Linked DNA regions of Rattus norvegicus. The protein of the gene in region 6 purifies or fractionates together with the protein of the main gene of each other region. This does not show direct contact. Links are inferred from orthologs where the notes say so. Each region holds a gene or a part of one and is shown on either strand. Other genes may lie near its edges. The genes, in order: Anapc16, Anapc2, Anapc7, Anapc13, Anapc1 and Cdc26.

What was found.
Region 1: the proteins of Cdc26 (region 6) and Anapc16 purify together in Homo sapiens (co-immunoprecipitation; 5 studies listed by BioGRID and IntAct, with this or other methods). This does not show direct contact. The link is inferred for Rattus norvegicus from reciprocal best matches to the Homo sapiens genes CDC26 and ANAPC16.
Region 2: the proteins of Cdc26 (region 6) and Anapc2 purify together in Homo sapiens (co-immunoprecipitation; 7 studies listed by BioGRID and IntAct, with this or other methods). This does not show direct contact. The link is inferred for Rattus norvegicus from reciprocal best matches to the Homo sapiens genes CDC26 and ANAPC2.
Region 3: the proteins of Cdc26 (region 6) and Anapc7 purify together in Homo sapiens (affinity purification with mass spectrometry; 5 studies listed by BioGRID and IntAct, with this or other methods). This does not show direct contact. The link is inferred for Rattus norvegicus from reciprocal best matches to the Homo sapiens genes CDC26 and ANAPC7.
Region 4: the proteins of Cdc26 (region 6) and Anapc13 purify together in Homo sapiens (affinity purification with mass spectrometry; 4 studies listed by BioGRID and IntAct, counting the BioPlex papers as one, with this or other methods). This does not show direct contact. The link is inferred for Rattus norvegicus from reciprocal best matches to the Homo sapiens genes CDC26 and ANAPC13.
Region 5: the proteins of Cdc26 (region 6) and Anapc1 purify together in Homo sapiens (co-immunoprecipitation; 6 studies listed by BioGRID and IntAct, with this or other methods). This does not show direct contact. The link is inferred for Rattus norvegicus from reciprocal best matches to the Homo sapiens genes CDC26 and ANAPC1.

Annotation. Positions count from the first base shown.
Region 1 is NC_086038.1:28,478,090-28,481,589, reverse strand, and holds part of Anapc16 (anaphase-promoting complex subunit 16), read left to right. Parts: intron 1-2,685; coding exon 2,686-2,852; intron 2,853-3,500. UniProt on the Homo sapiens protein: Component of the anaphase promoting complex/cyclosome (APC/C), a cell cycle-regulated E3 ubiquitin ligase that controls progression through mitosis and the G1 phase of the cell cycle.
Region 2 is NC_086021.1:28,483,293-28,487,427, forward strand, and holds the start of Anapc2 (anaphase-promoting complex subunit 2), read left to right. Parts: upstream 1-1,335; 5' UTR 1,336-1,340; coding exon 1,341-1,499; intron 1,500-1,735; coding exon 1,736-2,358; intron 2,359-2,594; coding exon 2,595-2,727; intron 2,728-3,483; coding exon 3,484-3,658; intron 3,659-4,135. Other genes in the region: microtubule nucleation factor SSNA1, read right to left, coding at 278-385, 749-948, 1,122-1,173. UniProt on the Homo sapiens protein: Together with the RING-H2 protein ANAPC11, constitutes the catalytic component of the anaphase promoting complex/cyclosome (APC/C), a cell cycle-regulated E3 ubiquitin ligase that controls progression through mitosis and the G1 phase of the cell cycle.
Region 3 is NC_086030.1:39,793,849-39,797,614, forward strand, and holds the end of Anapc7 (anaphase-promoting complex subunit 7), read right to left. Parts: intron 3,068-3,766; coding exon 2,917-3,067; intron 1,294-2,916; coding exon 1,104-1,293; 3' UTR 501-1,103; downstream 1-500. UniProt on the Homo sapiens protein: Component of the anaphase promoting complex/cyclosome (APC/C), a cell cycle-regulated E3 ubiquitin ligase that controls progression through mitosis and the G1 phase of the cell cycle.
Region 4 is NC_086026.1:112,083,197-112,087,204, reverse strand, and holds the start of Anapc13 (anaphase-promoting complex subunit 13), read right to left. Parts: upstream 2,801-4,008; 5' UTR 2,748-2,800; exon of another isoform or gene 2,559-2,747; intron 2,530-2,558; exon of another isoform or gene 2,390-2,529; intron 468-2,389; exon of another isoform or gene 376-467; intron 1-375. UniProt on the Homo sapiens protein: Component of the anaphase promoting complex/cyclosome (APC/C), a cell cycle-regulated E3 ubiquitin ligase that controls progression through mitosis and the G1 phase of the cell cycle.
Region 5 is NC_086021.1:136,380,665-136,384,889, forward strand, and holds the start of Anapc1 (anaphase-promoting complex subunit 1), read right to left. Parts: upstream 2,801-4,225; 5' UTR 2,573-2,800; intron 2,484-2,572; exon of another isoform or gene 2,465-2,483; intron 2,435-2,464; exon of another isoform or gene 2,128-2,434; intron 1,496-2,127; 5' UTR 1,472-1,495; coding exon 1,259-1,471; intron 1-1,258. UniProt on the Homo sapiens protein: Component of the anaphase promoting complex/cyclosome (APC/C), a cell cycle-regulated E3 ubiquitin ligase that controls progression through mitosis and the G1 phase of the cell cycle.
Region 6 is NC_086023.1:80,872,527-80,876,631, forward strand, and holds the start of Cdc26 (anaphase-promoting complex subunit CDC26), read right to left. Parts: upstream 2,801-4,105; 5' UTR 2,733-2,800; intron 5-2,732; exon of another isoform or gene 1-4. Other genes in the region: Prpf4 (U4/U6 small nuclear ribonucleoprotein Prp4), read left to right, coding at 3,060-3,086, 3,760-3,937. UniProt on the Homo sapiens protein: Component of the anaphase promoting complex/cyclosome (APC/C), a cell cycle-regulated E3 ubiquitin ligase that controls progression through mitosis and the G1 phase of the cell cycle.

The DNA.
Region 1 (3,500 bases), on a different chromosome or scaffold from region 6:
TTAAAAGTTTACTAGGCTATATTTCAAACTGATGTACCACAAAAGAGAAGTTATAAATTCCACAGAAACGGTTACTTTCCCTGAACAAGTAAATTCTGAAAGTAATGTAAGGACAAAATTGAGAGTATTGTCAGTGCGGCTGGGCTTGCAGGCAGAGTCTTTTATACCATCACTGAGAGGCCCATGGGTCCCTGTGAGTGTGAGGCCAGCCTGAACTGCATAGCAAGTTCCAGAACAGCCAGAGCTAAGCAGTGAGACCCCATTTAAAAAAAAAAAAAAAGTTGAAAGGAAAAGAGCTAGTTAATGAGTTTGCATTTATTCATAACAGGCTGCTAGTCTCACAGCAGCAGTTTTACTATTAGCCCATGTCAGTGTTCATTAATGCAACCTACGACGGCCATATGATGCAACTAGAAACCAGGCTCTGCCTCTCTGACAGCCACATGTCACTGCCACATAGTTCTGGGCCAGCAGCCACCATCTCAGGTTGCGTGTACCACTTTCCTTAGAAGGAAACGAGATGGTCTGGACATAAAGGATTTACAGGAACGTAGTATTCTCTAGTATTTTTCTGTTTAAAAAGTGTTTCAGTTTTCTGTTTAAAAAGTGTTGGGGATTGAAACTAGAGCATGAAATGTTTATAGCTTGTGCTCCCCCCACTGAGTCATAACCCAGCCTTCAACTTTTCCTAGCAAGTATGTCAGAACTAAGGGGGAAATGAGTAAAAACGACTCAGCACAATTCCCCTTGACCATAACAGAGGGAGTTGTGCTTTTATTAGTTTGGTTTTTTTGTTGTTGTTGGGTTTGTTTGGTTTTTTGTTTTTTGTTTGTTTTCTTTTTTCTTTTTTTTTTTGCATTTTGTTTTTTTTTTTTTGTTTTGTTTTTTTTTTTTTTTTTTTTTTTTTTGCATTTTGTTTTGTCCAATTGAGGGATCTTATGTATCCCAGCCTGGCCTTGAAATTGCTATAATCAAAGATGACCTCCAACTTCTGGTTCTTCCACCTCTGCCTCCCAGGTACAAGAATCTTACTTCTGGGCCACCATGCCTTGTTTATGTGGCGCTGGAACTAAGCTTCCTCTATACTAGGCAGATACTCCTAAGTAAACAATATCCACAGCCCTGGAAAATTCATTTTAAAGATTGATTCAAAGCCAGCCGTGGTGGCACATGACCATAATCCCAGCACTTGGGAAGGTGACACAGTGGGGTTGCCTTGAATATCGCTCAGACCAGGTCAGGATAGATAGTAAGTTCCAGGCTAGCAAATTAAGACCTTCTCTATAAATAAATAAAGTCTTTTTTTTCAATGCTGAAATCTGTATAATATCAAGATTAGCCATTGTCCATTGTTATTGGAACAGGCTCTCGGCTATGTTTCCAGGTTACAAAATCCCTTGCCTCAGCCTCCTGTGTAACTAAAATGTCCCAGTACACACCACTACTCCTGTGTAAAGTCATTTGTTCAGTTAAATACTAGAATTCTGACCCAGTGAGAAACCACTAGCCCCATTATTGAAATTTTATCTAGTATTTTTAAATGGACATAAATAGCTTTTCAGTTACATTATTAGACACAACATGAAACTGATGGCTACCAAATTGGGCAGAACTAGAATATCAGAGAATTTCCAAGGTGCAGGTTCTAAGTGGCATAAACATGGTACTAACCAGTCTTAAAATATATACTGTAGAGTCTTCATAGGCTTCTGAGGCTGTGTTCTTGTTCTGAGTTTTGTGAGACATGTGTTCAGTACTGGGGTCCGGGTTTTCAGATGGGATGCAGAATTAAGCCCACAGATGCTCAGTTCATGAAGGACCATTGTTTCTGAGATTTGATCCTGAATTATTTTTGTTCCAGCTTTGGGGCGCCACCAAGTGTTGGATTTAGGTATGACATTTAGATGAAAAGATTAATGAGTTCTTAATGAACGTGCCAATATGAATTTCCTCACTGATTTCCCTTCCTTGGGAACAGAACACAGTGTTATTCTGGACTCCTACTTGGAAAACCTGATAAGCGAACTTGGTGGTGTGGCTTGGCTTGGTGAGGAGTGTATCCAAGACAAACTGTCCTGTGGAGTAGTAGTATTTTATCTGTGGTCCCATTTTTGCCTTGGCCCTGCCATATCTCCCTTCATAACTCAGGAATTATCCACATTCAATCCCAAGTGGCATAATTCGTTAATGGGTTAATGGGAGAAAATAGGGCTCTCTAACTAGGCAAGATTTCTTTTGGTTTTGGTTTTTGGTTTTTCAAGACAGGGTTTCTCTGTGTATCCCTAGCTGTCCTGGAACTCATTAGGTAGACCAGGCTGGCTTCCAGTTCTCACGTATCGGCCTGTTTCTAGCTCCTGGGATTAAAGGTGTGTCCCACCATACCCATTCAAGCTCTTCTTTTTTTTTTTTTTTTTTTTTTTTTTTTTTTTTTTTTTTGGTTCTTTTTTTCGGAGCTGGGGACCGAACCCAGGGCCTTGCGCTTCCTAGGCAAGCGCTCTACCACTGAGCTAAATCCCCCAACCCCACATTCAAGCTCTTCTTAAACATGATTTACTTGAAAACCTGCGTGACATTATAAAAGACTATATAAGGATGGAGGACAGGGAAAGCTGGTCCTACTGGGCCAGAATGAAGTGTCGTCCATCTGGCTTTATAAACTTGCCAATTGCTGTTTTTTTCCTCTAGTGAAGAGAGACTTCTACTGGAGGGAATGGCCGCCTCCTCATCCTCATCTTCAGCTGGTGGGGTCAGTGGAAGTTCTGTCCCTGGATCTGGTTTCAGTGTGTCCGACCTTGCCCCACCACGGAAAGCTCTGTTCACCTACCCGAAAGGAGCTGGAGAGATACTAGAAGGTGATCTCATGCTGTGTTTGCTGAATAATTGGCTTCAGACCTTCAATGCATGTAAAATGTAAAGGAGCTGGGGCTGGGGGCCCTTGAGTAACCTGACCAGGGTTGCCACTGGCTCTGGACCCTCTTGATCTCCTGCTCCAGGTGGTCTTGTAACGCCTGTTGATGTATCTTCTTTTTAGTGAGTATCTACCCCACCAGAGAGGCCTGAAGGGGAAATAAGAGTTAATGTATTTACCTCTGTGAAGGTGACTCTCATGGGCCACTGCCAGACATGGCTGTATGACCGCATGGTTTATAGCACTGGAGATAGATTTGCAGCCACCGTCTTAGCACACAGACTGGCTGGCCAGAAATAGGTCACGGGCAGCAGCCATGAAATGGTGTTAGTGACTGGAACGTATCGGATTCATGTTAGGTAAACTGGTGATTCATGGTAGAAGCATAAGACTCATGTGAGACACTGAACTTAAATATGTCTTGCCAGGCAGATGTCTCTAAGTTCTTCTTCATAGTGAGTTCCAGGCCAACTAGGGGTGTACAGTGAGACCCTCTTTCTTAAAAAGAGAGAGACAGAGACAGAGAGAGACAGACGGGGGGTGGGGGAGGGAAAAGAAAGGAAAGGAAAGGAAAGAAACAAAAGAAGCTAAA
Region 2 (4,135 bases), on a different chromosome or scaffold from region 6:
TCCTGGCAGCCCAAGGAGATACAGGAGCTTCAGAAAGAGGCTCCTCATGGAGCTGACCAGGAGCTCAAGGTTCCAATAACACATGTGAGTGCGGAGCTGGGAACACATCTTCCATTGGACTGTCCTGGGGCTTGTCTTGTCACTCAAGGCAGGTGGAGGTCAGAAATTGACACTCAGGGCACCAGAGATAAAAGACATCTGAGGCCATGGAGAACAAAGATGCTTTAGGACAGACATGTTGGGGAGCAGCCATAGGCCACGGCTGAGACAGGGCTTGTCAGCTGTCTTTGCCTCCACTACTCTTCTGGTCTGAAGCCGTGGCTTTAGTCAGGTTCCCAGCTTCTCTTTTGAGTACACTAAGCAGAGTCTGAGAGCTCTCCAGGATCTGGGGCCAGAGAAATAGAAGGATGTTATTTCTCTGGTAAGAAGATTCCCACTGCCTCAGCCTCTGATAGTGGAGGATGGGAATCTCAGTCTGGCCATCTGTGCTGAGTCAACGGGTTATGGAGGATGGTGGGGGCAATAAAATTATCCTCCCTCCTGCACCTGTCCCAGAGCTCTTCCACCCTGCAAAGCCAGGCTGAGTTAGTTCACCCACCACTATGGTACTCTGTCCAGCACACCACTGCTCACTCTCTTGGATCCCACAAACAGCCCACTGTCCGGCCTACAGCCTCTGAACCACAATGGGCCCTACCTAGCCTCAGATGGTAGTGAGGCACTGACAACGCATATCTGAGAGCCCCACCTTGAGGTAGGCGGCCTCTGTCTCCGCAATGGTCCGGTCAAACTCGTTGCGAGAGGCGATCTTGCGCGCCAGGTTCTCGTTGACGCGGGCCAATTTCTCCGTGAGCTGCCTCACCTCATTCTGTAGCCGCTGCTTTTCGTCCTCCTCCTGCTGGATCTGCCGGCACAGCTCCTCTCGTTTCTGACACAACTCTTCGATGCCTAGGGTGGGCGGGAAGACAGAGCTGTAGGTTGGGGCTCGTGAACTTCGGACCCCGACCAGCACGACAGAGGGGAGGCCGCAGAGCGGAGCTCGTGAGGCATGTCGACGCAGCCTCCCGAGTGTGTGGGTTGGCCGGCCCCCGGCCCCGCGGCCTTCAGCGCCCGACGCTCACACTTGACCAACTCGTTGTTGTAGTTCTGCAGCGCCGCGCCCTGTTGGGTCATGGTCGGCACCGCGTCCGTAAGCCTCAACCGCCGCCTGCACCGCCAAGCCCGCGCCTGCGCACTGCCTACACAGCGCGCGCGAGCAAGCGAACGTCACGACTGCGCCACAGCCCGCGCTTGCGTCATCACCGTGCGCTACGCTGGGCGGGTCTGTTTTGTGGACAGTGATGGAGGCCGAGGGTGTGGCGGTATCGGTGGCGGCGGCGGCGGCGGCGACAACGACAATTGTCGCCACGGATGACTGCGACTCTAGGCCTGGACAGGAGCTCGTGGTTGCCTGGAATACTGTGAGCACCGGTCTGGTGCCGCCGGCTGCGCTGGGGCTGGTGAGGCCGGGGAAAGGTTGGCGGGCCTGTGCAGAGTTGCCACGACTTTGTCCTTTAGGGAGTCCATCCTTGGGTCCTCATAGCTCCCGTGCTCTGCCCGTAGTGGGCTTGCCTCCTTCCTCAGCTATCTGATTTGTTTGGTTTCCTGGCAGCCCTTCGGCTGCTGTTTTTTTCCACACCCCTCCTCTCCTTTTACCCCTGTTCCGCCCCTCTGCTCACGGTTTTCCGTGCTCCAGGCATCTTCCCGGACCAGCGGTGCAGTTCCACCAAAGGAGGAAGAGCTTCGTGCAGCGGTAGAAGTTCTGAGGGCCCACGGTCTGCACTCTGTCCTGGAGGAGTGGTTCGTGGAAGTGCTGCAGAATGACCTTCAAGGCAACATTGCCACGGAGTTCTGGAATGCCATCTCCCTTCGCGAAAACTCTGTCGATGAACCCCAATGCCTTGTGCTGCTCCTGGATGCGTTCGGTCTGCTGGAAAGCCGCTTGGATCCCTATCTGCATAGCCTAGAACTCCTAGAGAAATGGACTCGTCTGGGCTTGCTGATGGGCGCTGGAGCTCAGGGTCTTCGGGAGAAAGTTCACACTATGTTGCGGGGAGTCCTGTTTTTTTCCACCCCTAGGACATTCCAGGAGATGGTCCAGCGCCTCTATGGTCGTTTCCTGAGAGTCTATATGCAGAGCAAGAGAAAAGGAGAAGGGGGCACAGATCCAGAACTAGAGGGAGAGCTGGACAGCCGGTATGCCCGCCGCAGGTACTACCGACTTTTGCAGAGCCCTCTGTGTGCAGGATGTGGCAGTGACAAGCAGCAGTGCTGGTGCCGGCAGGCCCTGGAGCAGTTCAACCAGCTCAGCCAGGTCCTGTAAGTACTGCTTCCTGGCCATGCCTCAGTTTCTTTAAAAAGATCTCTGAATAGAGCTAATAAACTGGATGGCGAGGTCTTTTTCGCCTATACTTGTGACCAGGGATTATTGTGTATCAAGTGTATGCTGTCCTGGACATAGGCCTAGGGTGTGTGTACAGTGTCTTTCTGGGAAGACCCCTTCGGGTAAAGGACACATGTGTTGTGGGTTCTCCATAAGCGGGGATCTCCTCCAGGCATAGGCTCAGTCTGCTGGAGCGGGTTAGCGCTGAGGCCGTGACCACCACCCTGCATCAGGTGACCCGGGAAAGGATGGAAGACCGCTGCCGAGGAGAGTATGAGCGCTCTTTCTTGCGTGAGTTCCACAAGGTGAGAATCTCCTCCTTGGTCTGTTTCCTGTTAAGGGCAACGATGGGGTTGGGGTAGACCTAATAGCAAACAGTGGAGTGGTGATGGTTGAGATTATCTTGCTGCCGTATAGAGGCCAATCTTGGACCCTGGTGACAAGGACAAATCTGGTATGTACCAAATAGGTCTGTGCATTTAAAATAAAACCTTTAAATCCTGGGCCAGAGGTGGCTTCAAGGAGTTTCCTCAGGCAGGTGTGGCAAGACAGGTCTACCAGACCCTTTTCTTTCCACTGTCCTATAAAACATATGTTGACTTAACAGTTCCCTTCAGGATTAACCTATAACCAGTCTGGAGCTAGGCTGTCCTCAGTGAATGCCTCTGGTTGTCCATACTCTTGAGGTATGGTTTGTAATTCTTCTGTGGGGTTCCCAGCATTGTGAAGAAGCCAGGTTGAGCTCCATGCAGTCGTGCACCTTGTTTCTGCTTCAGTCCATACCTCCCACTCTTTGAGTGTCTGTCTGCTGCAGATGCATATTAGCCATGGTAGGGAATGATCAAAGTGGGTGTCCCCGCAGTGTTAGCCGTGTAGAGTCATGAACCTGGGAACTCCTGGGGCAGCTGCATTGAACCCTGGGCAGTGGAGTGTAGATCTGATACTTCTGGCCTCCATGCACAGGTCGGGGCTCCACTAGCATCCTGCCGAAGCTGTGTGGTTGCTGAGTCAGAATGGAGCTTTTAAATGTTATTACACCTCATACTAATGATCTTTCACAGTGGATCGAGAGAGTGGTTGGTTGGCTTGGCAAAGTGTTCCTTCAGGACAACCCCAGCAGACCAACTTCTCCAGAAGCTGGGAACACACTGCGTCGTTGGCGCTGTCACGTACAGAGATTCTTCTACCGAATCTATGCCAGCCTACGTATTGAGGAGCTTTTCAGCATCATCCGAGGTTGGTCCTGCTTCTTACTTTGCAGGACCTACCTTTCCCAGTCATTTTCTTTGCCTTACCTGCTGCTGTTGGCAGGGTGATAAGCTGAGCAGAGTGGACTTAAGTATAACATGTAGGAAAATATAGTGTCAGGTTGTAGAGATGTCTCATCAGTTAAGATGGCTTGTTGCTCTGACAGAATACTCAGGTTGTTGTCAGCACCCGTGTGGCAGCTCATAGCCATCTGTAGCTCCAGTTCCAGGAGATCAAGAACCCTCTTCTGCCCTCCACTGGTACCAGGCATCCACATGGAGCCTATACATCTGGGCAGCAAACAGTCCCTGCAAACAAATACTCACATGCATAAAGATTTTAATCTTTTTTTTTTTTTTTGGTTCTTTTTTTCGGAGCTGGGGACCGAACCCAGGGCCTTGCGCTTCCTAGGCAAGCGCTCTACCACTGAGCTAAATCCCCAACCCCAAGATTTTAATCTTAAAA
Region 3 (3,766 bases), on a different chromosome or scaffold from region 6:
GGTTCAATTTGTGGCTGAACAGATTTTGCCTTCTCTCAGCACTGACTGGTGAGTGGGGCTGCTGGCGGGGTGGAGTCAGGAAAAGCACCACCCACATGCTGCTTGCTCAAAGGGAGCCTGAGACTGCTCAGGGCCGGCTAGTGTGGAGGCTGAGGCTCACTGACACACTTTATGAGACCTGGTCCGCTTAACTTATGTCTCTTAATGCAAATCTTGCAGTGCAGCCCAGCACATTTGAACTGTCTGCCTCTGCCTCCCAAGTGCAGGCTTCCGGAATGTTTCCACCAGACTACGTGGCCCACTTCACTGCACTGACAGATGCTCTGAAATCGACTACGGATTCTTTACAGTAAACCTCATTTCTTCCTAGCACACCGATCTGCATCTTGAAAGGCACCCAGGAGGGACCTGGAGTCGACCCATCCCCAGTAGCTGAATGAGACTCTAGGCAGATGATCAAGGCTGACCCTGCCCTCAGGGACTCAGGAAAGAGCCAGGCTGGTTCTGTGTGACAAGCTCAGGGCTCTGCCTCCCAGCACATGGGAGAATAGGGAGTATATGTATGTCAAACTGTCTAGGCCTGCATGGCTGCCTCTGACAAGGAGGAAAAAGGAAGAGTCTCAAAGGGTGTCCACTGTGACATGTGACACCACACTGGGCAGTTTTATTAGTTGAACCTGCCCTGGGGTGGCCATGCTCCCATCATCTGCTTCTCAGATCTGCCCACTGAGGCCGAGCCTGCTCTGCAGTCAGTGAGGCACAGCCCGCCCCCCCCCATCCAGAGCTCCATGACTACAGGAGTGTGGCCGTACCAGGATGTGACTCCCAGGGACCGAACCTCTGACAGGGCCACCCAGGGGCATGTGCTCTTAAGAGGATGGCTCAGTCCTATGTACCCGCTCATAAAGAGAAAAAGCATCTTCCATTTCGTGCAGCCGAACCATCCAGAATGGCGAGTCTGTGGCTCGGAACTCGCTCAGTCCACAGCAAAGCAGACGGACAAACATCAGTGCCAACTTGAGGAAACAGGCAGAAAGGCCTGCTGTGAGCACACGTCCAACAGCTCCTGCCACTCTAGGGACACAAGGGTCACCGCTGTGCCCTCACTGCATGCCAAACCACTGCTCCTGGTCAGCCCACTGGGCTGCCTCACTGTCGCTACCCTCCAGGTCCCCTTCTTCCCCACTGCCCTCCATGTCGTCCACGTCGTCCTCCTGAGTGGCGTCTGTGGGGCTCCCCTCCTTCTCCATCTTCTGCATGCCCTCCAGGGACTTCTGGTCATTGGGGTCCAAACTGAGGAACAACAAAACAGAAGACAGGCCTGAGTCTCTGCCCTGCTTCTTGGGACTGTCACTGAGCTGGCCCAGCAGATATGACTAAGCCAGAGACGTTGCAAACAACTGTGCTTCCATGGCTGGACCCAGGGAGTCCATCAGAGATGAAAAGGGACATTATTCGGAGTTTTAGAACTTTTAACTTGAAGGGGCCGGAGAGGTGGCTCAGTGGTCAAGTGCATCTGTTGCTGGGTTCAGTTCCCAGCACCCATATATGACTCATGACCAACAGTGACCCCAGTTCCCAAGTATCTGACACCCTCCTCTGGCCTCTCTGGGCACCAGGCACATACATGGTCCACAGACATTCATGCAAGCAAACCCATCCACATAAAATAAATTAATAAACAATTCACTTTAAAATGGCAATTAAAAATTCTAACTTCAAATTTTCCTCCAAAAAGTTTTTAAAGCTCCTCAAATACCAAGCCCTTAACTCTCCTGTAGGCAGTGGAGGCAGTGGGGGAAGTGGAGGCAATGGGAGGCAGTGGGGGCAGTGGAGGCAGTGGGGGCAGTGGAGGACAGTGGAGGACAGTGGGGACAGTGGGGGCAGGGGAGGCAGTGGGAGCAGGGGAGGCAGTGAGGGCAGTCGGGGGCAGTGACCAGACAGAGCAGCGGTGCTCGCAGAAGGCCTGGTGCTTGAGGCCAGGCACAGGACACAGCCCAGCACATCCAGGAGGGAAACAGGATCAGGACACCCGGGCAGCCTCGGGTACATGATGATTGCATGTAGCCTGCCCCAGGCTGGTTATTCTTCCATGTGACTTTATACCGTGGACTGCAGGCAGCCACCGCCGTCAACCATGCTACACTCTGGGACAGATCATAAGTCCTGAGGCTAGGGGCTGGACTAAGACAGTTTCACTAGTAGCAACACCATGAAGCCCAGAGCCCAGGAGCCTCATTTATTTGGCTCCTAAGAAAGCTTTAAAAGAAAAGTCCTAGAAATTTACATTAAAAAATTAAATGTATTATTGTGTGTACACACACACATTGTCTGTGCGTTGTGTAAAAGCCATGGCGCACACGTCAGAGGACAACCTTGGAGTCAATTCTCTCCTTCAACCTTTACATGTGTTTTGGGAATCGAACTTGGGTCTGCACGATTATGTAGCAATTATTATCTTGATACCCCTAGTTAATGCCCAATGAGGTAGGTATAGACAGGGAATTGGTTAGTATTTGACCAAGATAACAGGTAGAAGCTGTACTCAAACTTCGGAATTTAAGTTTTTAATTACTAGAGCAGACAAAACCAGAAGCACACACTTAGCAAACTCTGATCATAAAAAGCAGAATGTAAAATATGTACTCGGCATAAGCCTATGACGTCATGGGGGTGTGGGCAAGCACAGGAGAGCCGCACAGATCAGTCTGGGTGTTACTCTTATGTGGGCTGGAGAAGGATGATCATCTCTAATTCTTCTAATATGCTTTAGGAAAATATGTCAGGAGTCATGAATTTGCAAATACCTTCTCTCATTGCTATTCTTAGCCTGCCTTCACCTTGGGCACAGCTGTCTGCAGAGCTGCCTGGGCCCTGCTTCCTTTCCTCTCCTCCCCATGGAGGCCGGGCACCTACCTCAGTGCTATGCTATACTGGTCCATTGCTTCCTGGTACTCATTCACAGACACCAGGAAGTCCCCCAGGATGCGGTGCAGGACGCAGTCGCTCTGGTTGGCCAGTGCATTTCTCAGCAGAGCAATTCCATCTTCGTACTTCTGCTCCCTGCCTGCAGAGAAAGACAACCTTTACTGCTCAGCTAGTGCACAGTCACACCCACTATGACACGACAACTTTCTCAGAGACCCCCTCAAAGGGGCGCTGCAGGGGTGAGGGGCATGTGGTCTCTAGTTCATTGGGAAATGACATGAGTACTGTGTCTTTAAAAACCATGCATCCATGAACTTATTTATACAGTGGTGTGGGCAAGCACACACAGCACATGAGAGGAGGTCAGAGGACAATCTATCTATCACGCAGGTCCTGAGGACTGAACTGAGGTCGTCAGTCTTGGTGGCCTCTTTACCCAAGCCACTGAGTCTGTGCCCTGAATCTTTAAAAAAAACTTTTTTTTTTTTTTTTTGCAGACGAGCTGTCCTGGAACTCCTCTGCAGACCAGGCCAGCACCAGATGAGGCCAATGGCCCTGAACTAGAACCCTGAACCAAAATACCCTCTTGATAGCATCAAATAAACTTAGGAATATGCCAGAAGCAAAAAGAACAAGAGAATCCAGATAGCTCAGAACCAAACTGACCAAAGTCAGCTGTAACACACTAAACGAGTTCAAAACTAAACCAACCAGATGAGTTCACCAGCTACCAAGTAACGTTAACTGGTGTAAACCAACCTAAGCAGGTCTAAGCCACATCTGGTGTGACACACACAGCACTTCAGGCAGGTGCAGGCAGAACTGCTCCACCATCTGT
Region 4 (4,008 bases), on a different chromosome or scaffold from region 6:
GAAATTTCACCAGTCTGGCTTAGACTTGGGGAGTTTGATGCCAGGAGGTTTATTTCTAACGGACTTAAACTGGTATGATTTGAAAAAGAGTTTCCTGGTATAACAATTTCTGGTGCACAAGAAAGTGTAATTACATTAAAACTGCACTTAGGGTCCACGACATTCCTTCCAAGAAGGCGGGTTCTAGAGATAGGTACTGGGGTCCAAGGAAGGTCTCAGTCATACAGCAAGAGAGTTCACCTGGGCTATCAGCGACCTTCGCCCTGGCTGTAGGAGCCTGATGTGGTCTGGCCCAACAGATCACTCAGATTACAGGACTGTTAATCACTTCCAATTCCCAGCTCTTTGGATAGAAGAACAGGTTTTACATCTTACCATTGGAAAAACAATCCTGCACGTTTAACATTTTCCCTGGATATTTGTGGGTGCAGGGATCTTTGTGCTGCGATCCCAACATCCAGCCTTCATCCTTCTTGAAAAAAAAAAAAAAAAACCCTGTTTATTTGTGTATGTACATGTGGAAGTCAAAGGACAACGTGGCGATTTTGGTTCTCTTCTTCCATCAAGTGGGTCCCAGAGATTGAACTCAGGTTGCCTGTAAGCCACTAGGCCGTCTTGTTGGCTTTCCTCAGTGTCTGTTCCAAAGGCTCAGGATGCTTGCTTAGGCCCCTGACCACAGACTGCTTCACATGTTTCTCCTCAAACTGTTGCAGTCTAACTCAAAAGACTGGTCGTCAAGCAGTGCTTTTTGGGTTTCTGGCTTCCAAGTTTGTTCCTTATCACAGACACAGCCTATTGTGCTTCTTGCCACAAAGTGGCAACCCAAGGAAAGGTCCTAAGGGTTAGCACCAGTAGCTCTCTCAGGAACTGCTGTTTCTGAGAGAAGGGAGACTCAAGCAAGAAACAAACTTTGCCATACGGCTATGTGCTTGTCTCCAATGGTGTAAAGGCAAAGCTAGCACTATCTACCGAGTCTGCAGGAGGGAAAGGGCTTTCACTTTAAAAAATTAAACAAGATGGGGCCCAGAAGGAGGTTCAGTGGACTGAAGTGCTTGCTGTGCAAACAAGGGACCTGACTTCAGATTGCTGGCACCCACGTAAAAAGCCTGGCACGATGGCACACACTTGTGTCCTCCGGGAGGCTGCCAGGCAGTCTAGTTGAATCAGAAAGTTCCAGGTTTAGTTTAAGATTCAAAGTAATAAAGGAAGACACAGACGTTGACCTCTGACCTCTACACTCATCTACGACTCCACCTGTAGGCAGAAACCACACCTTTTTTGTCTGCTCATGCACACAGACACACCACACACCCGCATACAAACACTGAAGCCAAAGGTGGTCAGCTCCTCCTGCTGAGTGAAAACCAGGTGATGGCTTAGCAGTTTTCCTCAGACTTAACCAGACCCTAGCTAGTGGATAATGCAAAGCTAGCTGAAGAGCCACTTCTAGTCACTCCTCTAGGGCTTGACAAGTTTCCTCCCCTTTCCTGTCAATCTTTTGTTTTTATAGCTGTGTCTTGGGCTACATTTCATTCTTTCCTGTACTGATTTTCCCAGTCCTATACAGACTGCATCCTTTTCTAAAGTGTTCTGACTTCCTTCCAGTTTTTTAGCAGGCTCTTTGTCCTTGAATGCTTTGTTGCTCACATTAAATGATCTATGAAACAAGTTAGGTCAGCTTTGTGATTGACTGGCAGAGTCCTACTGTCTCCAGTGGTAATGCGGTGATTCCCAATCTTTCAACAAGCTGGCCTCAATGTTTGTTTGTTTGTTTTTTAATTATTTATTATGTATATATCATACAGCTCTCTGCCTGCATGTATGCCTGCAGACCAGAAGAGGGCACCAGATCTCATTACAGATGGTTGTGAGCCACCATGTGGTTGCTGGGAATTGAACTCAGGACCTCTAGAAGAGTAGACAGTGTTTTTAACCCCTGAGCCATCTCTCTGAGCCTGGCCTCATGATTTTTTAACTCCCTGAGCCCGGCCTCAATGTTTTTTAACACGACCCTCTCCCACATGCCTACAAACCGGCTTGCTTTTTACCCACCCACTGTACTTCATCAGTTATGCTTGCTCGTCCTTCTAAACAACAGGAACCGCGGCAGGGCTTTGAAGTCTACATCTATTTTCCTGGGTCAGGTGATCGGGTGCTCCCCCTGGGAAAAGCAAGCACAGGCAATGCCCCAAACCCTTACGACACAGCATAACCTCTCTAGGTTTCTTAAACTTTTTGTACTCTTCTCTTACTATGCCCGGTCCTCCAGATAAATTCTCAGCTCTCAGATTGTCTTGATCTCTGAGCACAATATGTGACAACAGGAGTTTTTTTGTCCAGACATCTCTTTCTAGATATTAGATGCGTACGTCCTATGAGACATACTCACGTTTTATGTATTTTCACAATCACAGCTTTGTAAATGTATTTCTAAGCTAAAAGCACGGGGGCCGATACTAAAATTGGCCTTCGCAGGCCACCATCTTGGGTCACTAGACGCAGAACCACCCGCTGCAGCCGTTTCCGGTTCGAGTGCTGGAGCTACTACGTGCGGAAGTGCAAGGGGGAGGTCGAGCGTCGCCATGGGTGCTCCGTTCCACTCCGCACAGCGTGCAGTAAAGAAGTGGCTCTGAAGGTCGGTTGAGAGTACCGGCCTGCGCTTCTGGAAGCGCTGAACGACTCTGAAGTCGAGGGCGAACGCTTGGCTACTCTCAGAAACCCGGGCGGCGGGCGCGAAAAACCCTTACCCACAGAGCGCGCGTCGGCTTCCTCCGGGCCCCGCCCTTCTTCCGGGTCACGTGACGCACGGCGCTCTCATACCCCGTATGTAGGTGAGTCCATTCGCTGCTGTAGGGGGCGGGACGAACGTCGATTTATTGTGACGTGCGCGCGTTCCCGGTCAGAGGAACGGCGGGCAGGCCCCGGGGCGCGCTCTGCCGGGGGCGCGCTCCGTAACCGACCGCATGCCCCTAAGACGGGCGAGCTGCGGCTTGTTGTGCGTTTGCGGCCCTGGCCACCGTGGTGCCGCTAACCTTCTGGCCGCATGGCCCGGGGCCGCAGTTCGTTGCGGCCCACCTACCGCGGGGGCCTCCACTGCACGCCCACTGCTGTCCGGCCGCTGCGTCCCTGGGTTCCTCCGTCTCCTCCCTATGGGGCTCTGAGCTGACCGGCCAGGTGCTACGGCCAGCGGGAGGGCGGGTTGCTTCGCTCCCGGGGAGGAACCCTGCTGCTACGGGTGTAGGACCAGGCCTTAGCATTAGCCACTCAGCGTGAAGTCCGCAGGGTTCCCTCGTAATGTTCGTAGGAAAGGTGCGGGAACCCCTGATGCAGGCGAATTGCGGAACGCTTTCAAGTCGAGTGAAAGTTTTGAAAGAGCAGTTCGATAACAACGCTTTACGCGGAGACACTTGACCGTGAATGGATTGATTGGAAAGGGCTTTTGTACTTCACAGAATCGTGGGGTTACAGAGTTTTCATTTATAAACTGTACACTTATTGCTCAAAGCGATCCCCTTTCTCTCCAACTAGCACCGGCTCTCCTTTGTTGCTCTGGTCGACCAGGCTGGCCTCATTGTAGATGGACCTACCTCTGCCTGCTAGTTAAGGATCTGCACCACCTCGCCTGGCTTTTTGAGTTCTCTTTCTTGAGGCCAATTTAGAGTTTTAAAATGTATTACTTTATTAAAGCAGGGTAGGTGCTCTTTGTACAATTCTTCGAACATTTGCATTTATTTTGTATTTATATTTTGTAAGTCAAAGATCAATGGCTTTAATTATCTAACTATTTACACCTACTCTTAAAGGCTGTAGCTTAGTGATACGATGAAACGAATTATCTTCGTTTCATTCATGAATTATATTCATTCATTGGAATGCAGCGCCATTTTTAGGTAATTTTTGTCCCTGCTTCTTGTCTTTCACTGTGCCGTCCTCAGCGATCAGTTAAGGAGGTTGTCAAACTAAAATGGGTTAGAGATTTATAAACAGATGCATGTCCCTTTAGAATGT
Region 5 (4,225 bases), on a different chromosome or scaffold from region 6:
CTATCAGGGGATTCTCGAGATAACATAAGAGAGGTAGGAGAGATGGTTCAGTGGTTAAGAGCACTAGCTGCTCTTCTAGAAGACTGGGGTTTGATTCTCAGCACCTACACAACTGTCTGTAACTTCAGTTCCAAGAGATCCGACGCCCTCTTCTGGCCCATATGGGCACTGCACACACATGGTGCAGCCATACAAGCAGTTTAAAAACTGACTCAAAATTCCTCTATAGTGTTTTATTTTATACTTCTAGGTCCCTAGTATTGCTCTGCCAATAACACAGGCACACAAAAAGTATATCTTACATATAGAGCATAAGATAAAATCCATGCTTGAAGGGAAACTAAAAGTATGTATTAAGTGTATGTAGAAGGCAGAAAACAGACAGAGGTGCACATGGGACTCTATGGGGGACTTGATGCAGTGTGGACTTCCCTGCTTCACAGCTGCAAACACAGTCGTCCTCTTTCCCTTGTCCCACACATAAGATGAATGGAAGCTAGAAAGTTTCTGATTTCTACCTATGTACACACCAAGAGATTTGATTTCAAAGGCATGTGAAGATGAGGTGCAGCAGCAGAAGAGAGGAACAGCTTGGTGGAAGAGTGTTTCTCTCTCAAGGCAACAAGGCCATGACATTGGTTTGGCCCCAGCATGAGTCCTCCACACCCACTTCCACCCCCAAAAAATCAGGAGCTGGGTGAGGGATGATACATAGGAACTACTTTGTTCTAGTGTCATTTTTCTGACGTACTTTTGCATCTCATCTCCATAATTAAGAGATTTGCCAGGCATTGTGGCACACACATCTAATTCCAATATTCTGAAGACTGAGAGAGAGGGTCAAAATTCCAGGGCCAACCTGGGCTACTCAGTGAGGCTCCAACTCAAAAAAAAAAAAAAAAAAAAAAAAAGGTACTGCTACTCTAACACTCTTATGTGACATCAACCCTCTTCTAGAAACGTGTGTTGCAGGTACCATTTCGAATCTCTAGCATTTAGTCACCAAAGAGTATAAAACCTGATTATCCACATATGAAGTGAAGATAGTTTAAAGTGAGCCATGATTGAAGTAATCAACTCTCTTTACAAGTTACACAGCATGCCTAAGTAGGCAGCACCGTGTTTCAGCACTGACTGAAATTACCAAACACTAGCTTTTAACCAAGTGCCAACACACGCGTATTTCTCACATGCATACAGGAAGCTTTACACTCATTCATTCCGTGTTTCAAATGTATGATGAGAATCTTAATAAAACCTTCTGTTTCTCATGGATCGTAACCTCCTGAAGAGATCCCACCAAGCCAGCTGCACCATCGGAAGACCATAACTCAGAAGCTGGCTGCAGCTGACGAAGCTGAAGGTTCAGAGCATTAGGGTGGTGCTTGCAGTGGTCTCGACCAAAAGGAACGAATTCCTGCAGATCCCCGGCTGCAATCATCGTTGCCCTTTCTTCAGAGAAGTTCGACATGGGTTCCAAATATCAACATTATTTCTGTGTGAAATCAAACACATCCTTGTCAGCCTTCTAATCAAAACTAACTTATCACTACAAAGGCCCGGATGGAGCTATGTCAGAAACATGCTGGTCTACCTCGCAGACATTTCAACACACTGGATGTAAAGATAGCTAACATTCTAACATTCTGTGGCATAGTTTGTGCAAGTTTTGTCTTTGAGAAAACGTCTACAACAGCATTTGATAGCAACACTACAACCAACTGTTAGTGTTTGGAAAGGAAGGTAAGATTAACAACTGCTAACTAAACTTGACTTGAAGCTCTCACCTGAAGCTTTTAGACATCTTTTTTCTTTTTTTTTTTACAATCACCTGAAAGCCTCTAGTTTATACGAAGCCCTCTATTGCTACAAAGTCTTCCTTGCTGTGACGTAAATGTTATCACTGATATGATTACCTCACCTCCTAGAAATAAAATCAATATTGAGAACAGAACTTAACTGAACCACATATGCCTTATACAAAGTAGGAAAAAAATTCCAAGGTGTGGCTGGCCTTTCCAAATTCTATTCAACAAAGCAGGTAACATTAAAGAACTTGCAACTCTGCCGGACTTTTCCTTGTGCAAACATGTAATGTCATCCCCTTGTAGCTTAAAACAAACCTACAGGATTGCTTTTTACAGCATCATTTTCACAGTTCGACGTCTTTTAGCCCAAAGGCATCATACTTAATACTTTCACAGGTCTCCAAAAGTTGTTAAACTTGTTATTCGTTACAGGCCACATCAAAGCACGGAGTTGACATGCTAGAAGTAAAACTGTTATTACTGGTTACTAGATACATATGCAAACAGCGGGACCCTGAGTTGGGTCTACAAAAATAGGCTTTCCGTGCATTTGAGTAAACCGCGCTACAGGCGCAGCGGCCGGAGCATCTGGCTCAGTGCGCGGGTCGCGTCGGCCCAACCGGAAAAGCCCAGTCTGAGACTCGGGTTCCTCTCACCCCAGCACGCTCTCAAGGCCCGCCCCAGAGCGCTCAGCCGTTGGGTCACCCGGTGCATCGAAATTCCAACACCAAGTTGCAGTGATGCGCTACCCGGCCGGCCCGCACCTGAGTGACTCGGGACGCGTCAGGCGCTTGCGAGCCCCGGCTGCTCCCCGGAGGCACAGGGGCCCCGAAGGCCCGAGAGCAGCGGCAAGACGGTCACGATGGCTCCTCGTCGCCACAGTTTCTCATCCCTTTTCCCTCTCTGATGTCGGAGGAAGAATGGGCCGCAGCGTGATACCAAAAATTGGCGAAGAACTCAAATGAATGTATCCATCTTGGATTTCCCGACCTGCCTCGCGCCACCACAGAGCAAAGCGGGGACGCGCGGCAGCGGAGAGGACCTGGCGCCTGCGCAGTTGGAAAGGGTGTCTGTGCGAGTGCCTACGAAGGCAGTCATTTAACGACTTTACCTCTCTAACAAAATAAATCTCTGAGATCCTGAGCTATCTTCTCAATTTTAAGTTAAGTTAGGTAATTTTTTCCAGCTGGTTGAGTTTCCTCCTCATCTCAAAAGGGGATGTGTGCCTCCTCACTGAGGAATGGGAGCGCAAGGGAGGCCGCTCATTTTCTCAAGATTGCAAGGAAAACATTCTGCCCGGAAATCACACACCCCCACCACCCAAGATGGGCTTTAGTCCCTTAACTGCTCTTGGTCATAAAAAAATGGCGGGCCTCTCACTGCCTAAAGAATAGAGCTCCACTCTACTTCTCTGCCCCAAAGGCAGTTAGTTGGAATTTGATACCTTCATTTTAATTGTCGATTGTAACACACACCTTGATATTTTAGTTCATTCTTATTTCTTTTCTTGGAATGTCATCCTACAGAATTTGAGGCTGCACTCCAAAAGGAAGCTCATAGAACTTGGTGAGTGGAATGCCTGTTTAGCTAAAATTTTCTGCCTGGATATTCAAAAACGGTTAAATTAACACTCATATTCCACATGCTCTGCTCCGACCTCTTCATTCCTTCCCGCAAAACCTCACCATCCTGCAAAGGTCTTTCTATCACCAACAAGGCTATCTGGAAAAAACGAACAGAAAAGTGTTGCGGGTGTGTGTGTGTGTGTGTGTGTGTTTCTGACCTGAGACAAGGGGCTGAGGTGCGTATTTTACATATCAATGCAGGAACCCAACAAAGAGCACTCATCATTCTCCATCCTCTCTACCCCTTCCCCTTCACAGGCTGCCTATAACACCATCAACCACACCAGTAGTCACTTGGAATAGAAGGACACCCAACTCTCCACGATGCTCTGAGCAACCAAGCCACTATCATACTCGAGTCTGTGATATCTTCTGCTACTGCCAGCCTTGGATGAGGGATATGGGAGTTGGCTTCTGAAGAGGCCATACTTAGAAACCCAAAACGTTAGGGAGCAAACTGGTCAATGAATGAAAACAAGGACATGAGCACTCCTAGATATGGTTGAGGAGGTTTTTATCATAGATCTGAGGGAAAGAACAGCCAGAGACTGGAAGAGTCTGCACTGAATACTGAACACAGGCTGCAGAATAGACCAGGCCATGAGAGGATTGGGGAGGGAAGGGGGACAAGAGAGAAAAGAGAGAAGCACAAGCAAGCCAAAAGAGATCAAGAGCAGAGCCAGGAGGACTAAGAGAGAAGCTGGGAACCAAGCAACCTGTGGCCAAAATGGCTGGGTTATATAGGGAAAAAAGGTGGGGGAAGGGAAGCTAACTGTGGAGCTGGAGGGATTT
Region 6 (4,105 bases):
TGTGGGGAAAACACAACACAACAGACCATGCCAATCTAGGGCAAAAACAGAACTCTAAGGAGGGTCCTTCAACAGCACTGCATGAGCATCTAGCCGAGGGTGGGCTGCCTAAGAGTGGCTAGGGATCTCAATTCCCTATGGGAAAAGGTGTCTTAGTGAATTTGAAGGGTAGGCAGACAGACTTAAGGTCAGAGAAGTTCATATGGAGAATGAAGGTTTGTGTTAACAAAGCCCATGTTTGTTTCAGAACAAACACTTGAGCTGGCAGCACCCGGTAGAGTGGGCCCTGCAACTCACCTGGGCAGCAGTAGAGCTAGCCCCGGTGAAAGGCGTGGATGAGGTAGTCCCTGAAGACCTGAGAACAGGAGAGCTGACACTCCCCCTTGCCAGCTGTGGCACTGGGTAAACTAGCTGGAGCAGTGTTGGAGAGTTCACCCGGATGGTGCAGATACAGGTGGCAGGCTGATCAACTCAGCTACCTCCCAGGACCAAATCCAGGGCTCTGAGTTGGCCCACCCCAGCATCTACCCCATCTATGATCTGCACAAGCTGCAGGGTCACATCTCCATGACACAGGGCAACAACATATCTGAGAGGAGTCCTAGTGAGGTTCCAGTATAGTGTAGCAAAAGCCAGAGGCCCTAAAACAGGCCCATGACTCATTGCACTGAATGAGCATTTATAAGTTTAGGTGTGTGGACAAACGGGTATACTCCATGATACACCATGATGTGCTACAGAGTCCATGACAAATTTTTGTTTATTCTATCTTATTTTCTTATTGTAGGGGGGAGGTTGCAAGGGCAGATGCAAAGGGACAGGGAGATGAGTGGGACTGGGGTGGATGATGTGATGTTCACAAAGAATCAATCAAAAGTTAAGAAGAAAACCTAAGGGGTTGGGGATTTAGCTCAGTGGTAGAGCACTTGCCTAGCAAGCGCAAGGCCCTGGGTTCGGTCCCCAGCTCCGAAAAAAAGAAAAAGAAAAAAAGAAAACCTAAGCTGACTTTAGTATCTGTTGAAGGTATTGTCTCTATGTCCTCCACAGCATCCACAACAAAGTAAACTGAGCCATAAAAAATAGAGAAAGTGAAACTAACTTTTCTTAAATTCTAGACTCTCCCATTATTGGTTTTTCTTCTCACTTTGATAACTCAAAAGTTTTTGCCTCTTAAAAAAAAGTTTGTTCTATTTATTTGTTGGGTGCTGGTGAAAGCACATAGCCCACAGGCAGAGGTCAGAGGACAATGTCTGGGAGTTGGTTCTCTCCATCTACTATGTAGGACACCACACTTAGCATGGGCTCCTTTACGACTGAACCAACCCACATTCCCATTCTTTATATTACTTTAATACAGAAGCCTTGGGAAGCTTGAAAAATTATTCCAGTTTTATAAAGTTGAAGCAAACAGTTTAATTAACAAATTCAGAAGCCGGGTGGTGGTGGCACACACCTTTAATCCCAGCACTCTGAAGGCAGAGGCAAGCAGATCTCTGTAAGTTTGAGGTCAGCCTGGTCTACAGAACATGTTCCAGGGCATCCAGGGCTACACAGAGAAACCCTGTCTTCCAAAAAAAAAACAAAATAGCCTCCTATAAAAGTTACTCATAGACCACTAGAATAAAAAGTTGTGATAATGATCTTCGTGAAAGTTCCGCAAAAAAAAAGTTCCGATATAGTGTGCATCCATATAAATTATTATTGCATGCTAGCAGAATGAAACAAAAGACTACGATGTATACGAAACATTTACACTTCTTACACTTCTCTCAGGAGTGTCACATTATATCACATCTCAAGGGGCCATATGGTCAACACAAAACACTGGCCTGTGACAATTCAAACTGCTTTATTCTATCAGATACTACCTTCTACCAGATCCCTAAGTAGAGAAATGGAAGCCAGCTCCAAAGAGAAAGGGAAGAAATACTTAAGAAAAATAATTTCCTACTTGGGTATGAACTGAAAGCCTCACCACTAGAGAGCAACAGTGAGTACGGGTTAAAAGCGCGGCAGTCCACCCGCCACATTACTAACCCTACTACACTGTGGCTCCAGAACGACGGATTACCTTTTCTCACCAGAATTTATTTTCTGATCTTTACTCTTGTTGTCCCGCGACTTAAATAACTAAGATAGAATAAGCTCCTTGCGCGTAACGTGGCATTTAGTAAGCCCTCGAAGTGGAAGTGCTCTTCTAACTGGAGTTGTTCGGGGAAGAAAGAGGCTTAAGAGTGAGAATGAGTCTGTTCAGCTCAGCAAACGCGAATATTTTGCAATCCCCGCAACTTTCATGTAAGGGTTTAAAAAAAAAATATCTCTGACGGCCTAGCAATCATTGCAACTGCAGCTGCTGGTATACACTTTATCTGGCGCCTCCCTGGACCCTTTATTTCAAAGAACATATAAAAAGAACAGGCTGTAGACAAGTAAAACAACAACAAACTAGGCCGCAGCTCCTCCACCACATCTCTATTTTAGCCTTAGAAGGCTCTTCGAGTTTAATGTCTTCTTAAAGCACAAAATCACTTCGTAGCCACCCAGTTACCAGGGGCCCCCGGAGAACTTCCGTCGTGAACAACAGTCCTCTTTCCCAGCTCCAATGCTGCAGAAGTCTAGGGAGAGATTTCAATGGCAGCACAGGCCTCGGTTTCAAAATGACGGAAGGCCTCCCGAAGGAGAGCAGAGACCCTTGGTTTGTTCCAGATTAGACTTGCGATTCGCAAACTTACCTCTTTTCAGGCCTCTGAAGCTTCCCAGAACCTCAACTCCCACCTTGACTCCATTGCTACGCAGCCCGAACTACACTTCCCAAGTTGCTCTGCGCCTTTTTTTCCCACGCGCCTCTTCTCCCGAGAGGTTGTGCCGCTCTATAAGGCCACGCCCATCGATGACAGCCGACACTTGGCAACTACCACTCCCAAGATACTTCGCGACTCCTAGAGCACGAACTGGTACATTTCCGGCCAGTGACGCACTTCCACTTTGCTAGGCGCGCGGTTCCCGGTCTGAAAAGCAGAACGGGATTTGGCTAGGGCCTCGCGGCTCCAGAGCCCGGCATGGCCTCCTCACGAGCCTCCTCCACGGTACGGAGTTCCGCATCTAAGTTCATGCTTATCCTCTCCTAGGGAGGACGCGGTCCCCGTGGGAAAGGGCCGTTACCTTACGGGTCCGGGCAGAGGAGGAGGAGGAGGAAGGCTGGGGGACCGTGGTGTGGACCTTAGCAGCCTTTTCCTGATTTCTAAACGCCTAAACTGCAGCTCTTTTTGCACTGCTCTTACTTAAGCCCTGAGCAGTGAACAACACTTTTTCTGACTGCTCCAAAGCACAGTTCTTTGAAATCGGGCAGTGTCTTGACGTAAGCTGTACGACTGGTACTTATGAGGCCTCCCAACTTCTAATAGGCTCTGAAAGTATTTGAAATGTGTATTCCAGTAACATTGTGACTTGGTGCGCCGAATTGTTTGGGTTGTTTTGGGTGTATGTCCAGTGGCGAGAAGTTATTTTCGTAAAATCGGAGATTGCATTTCGAATAGATTAAAGTAACAGGCCCCAAAACAAACCAAGACATATCAGACAGAAATTGTTTAATTGTAATTGTGTGCCAAATTTAACGAGAGCGTGAGCTCGGCGCAAAGTCACTTTCGACTTTGTCCTAGTTGTGAGAGGAAATAAAATGAAGGCTCAGCATTTCCTTCATTCTTTTGGAAAGCATGGTTTGCTAGGACCAAACCTTAATCGGGGTCTTTGATTTAACAGACAACCAAAACTAAAGCACCTGACGATTTAGTTGCTCCTGTTGTGAAGAAACCACACATCTATTATGGAAGCTTGGAAGAGAAAGAGCGGGAACGCCTGGCCAAAGGAGAGTCTGGGATTTTGGGAAAAGAAGGACTCAAAGCCGGCATTGAAGCAGGAAATATTAATATAACGTCTGGTAAGATGCAAGTTGAAAATCACACACCCCCTCCCCCCCTTTTTTAACAGTGCTAGGAATCCAACCCAGGGTTTTTTGCATGCTAGGCAACTGTTCTGCCACTGAACCACATTCTCATCTTTCCACTACACTCTTGCCTGTGACCTCACACTGCTTCTGCCTCCTCCC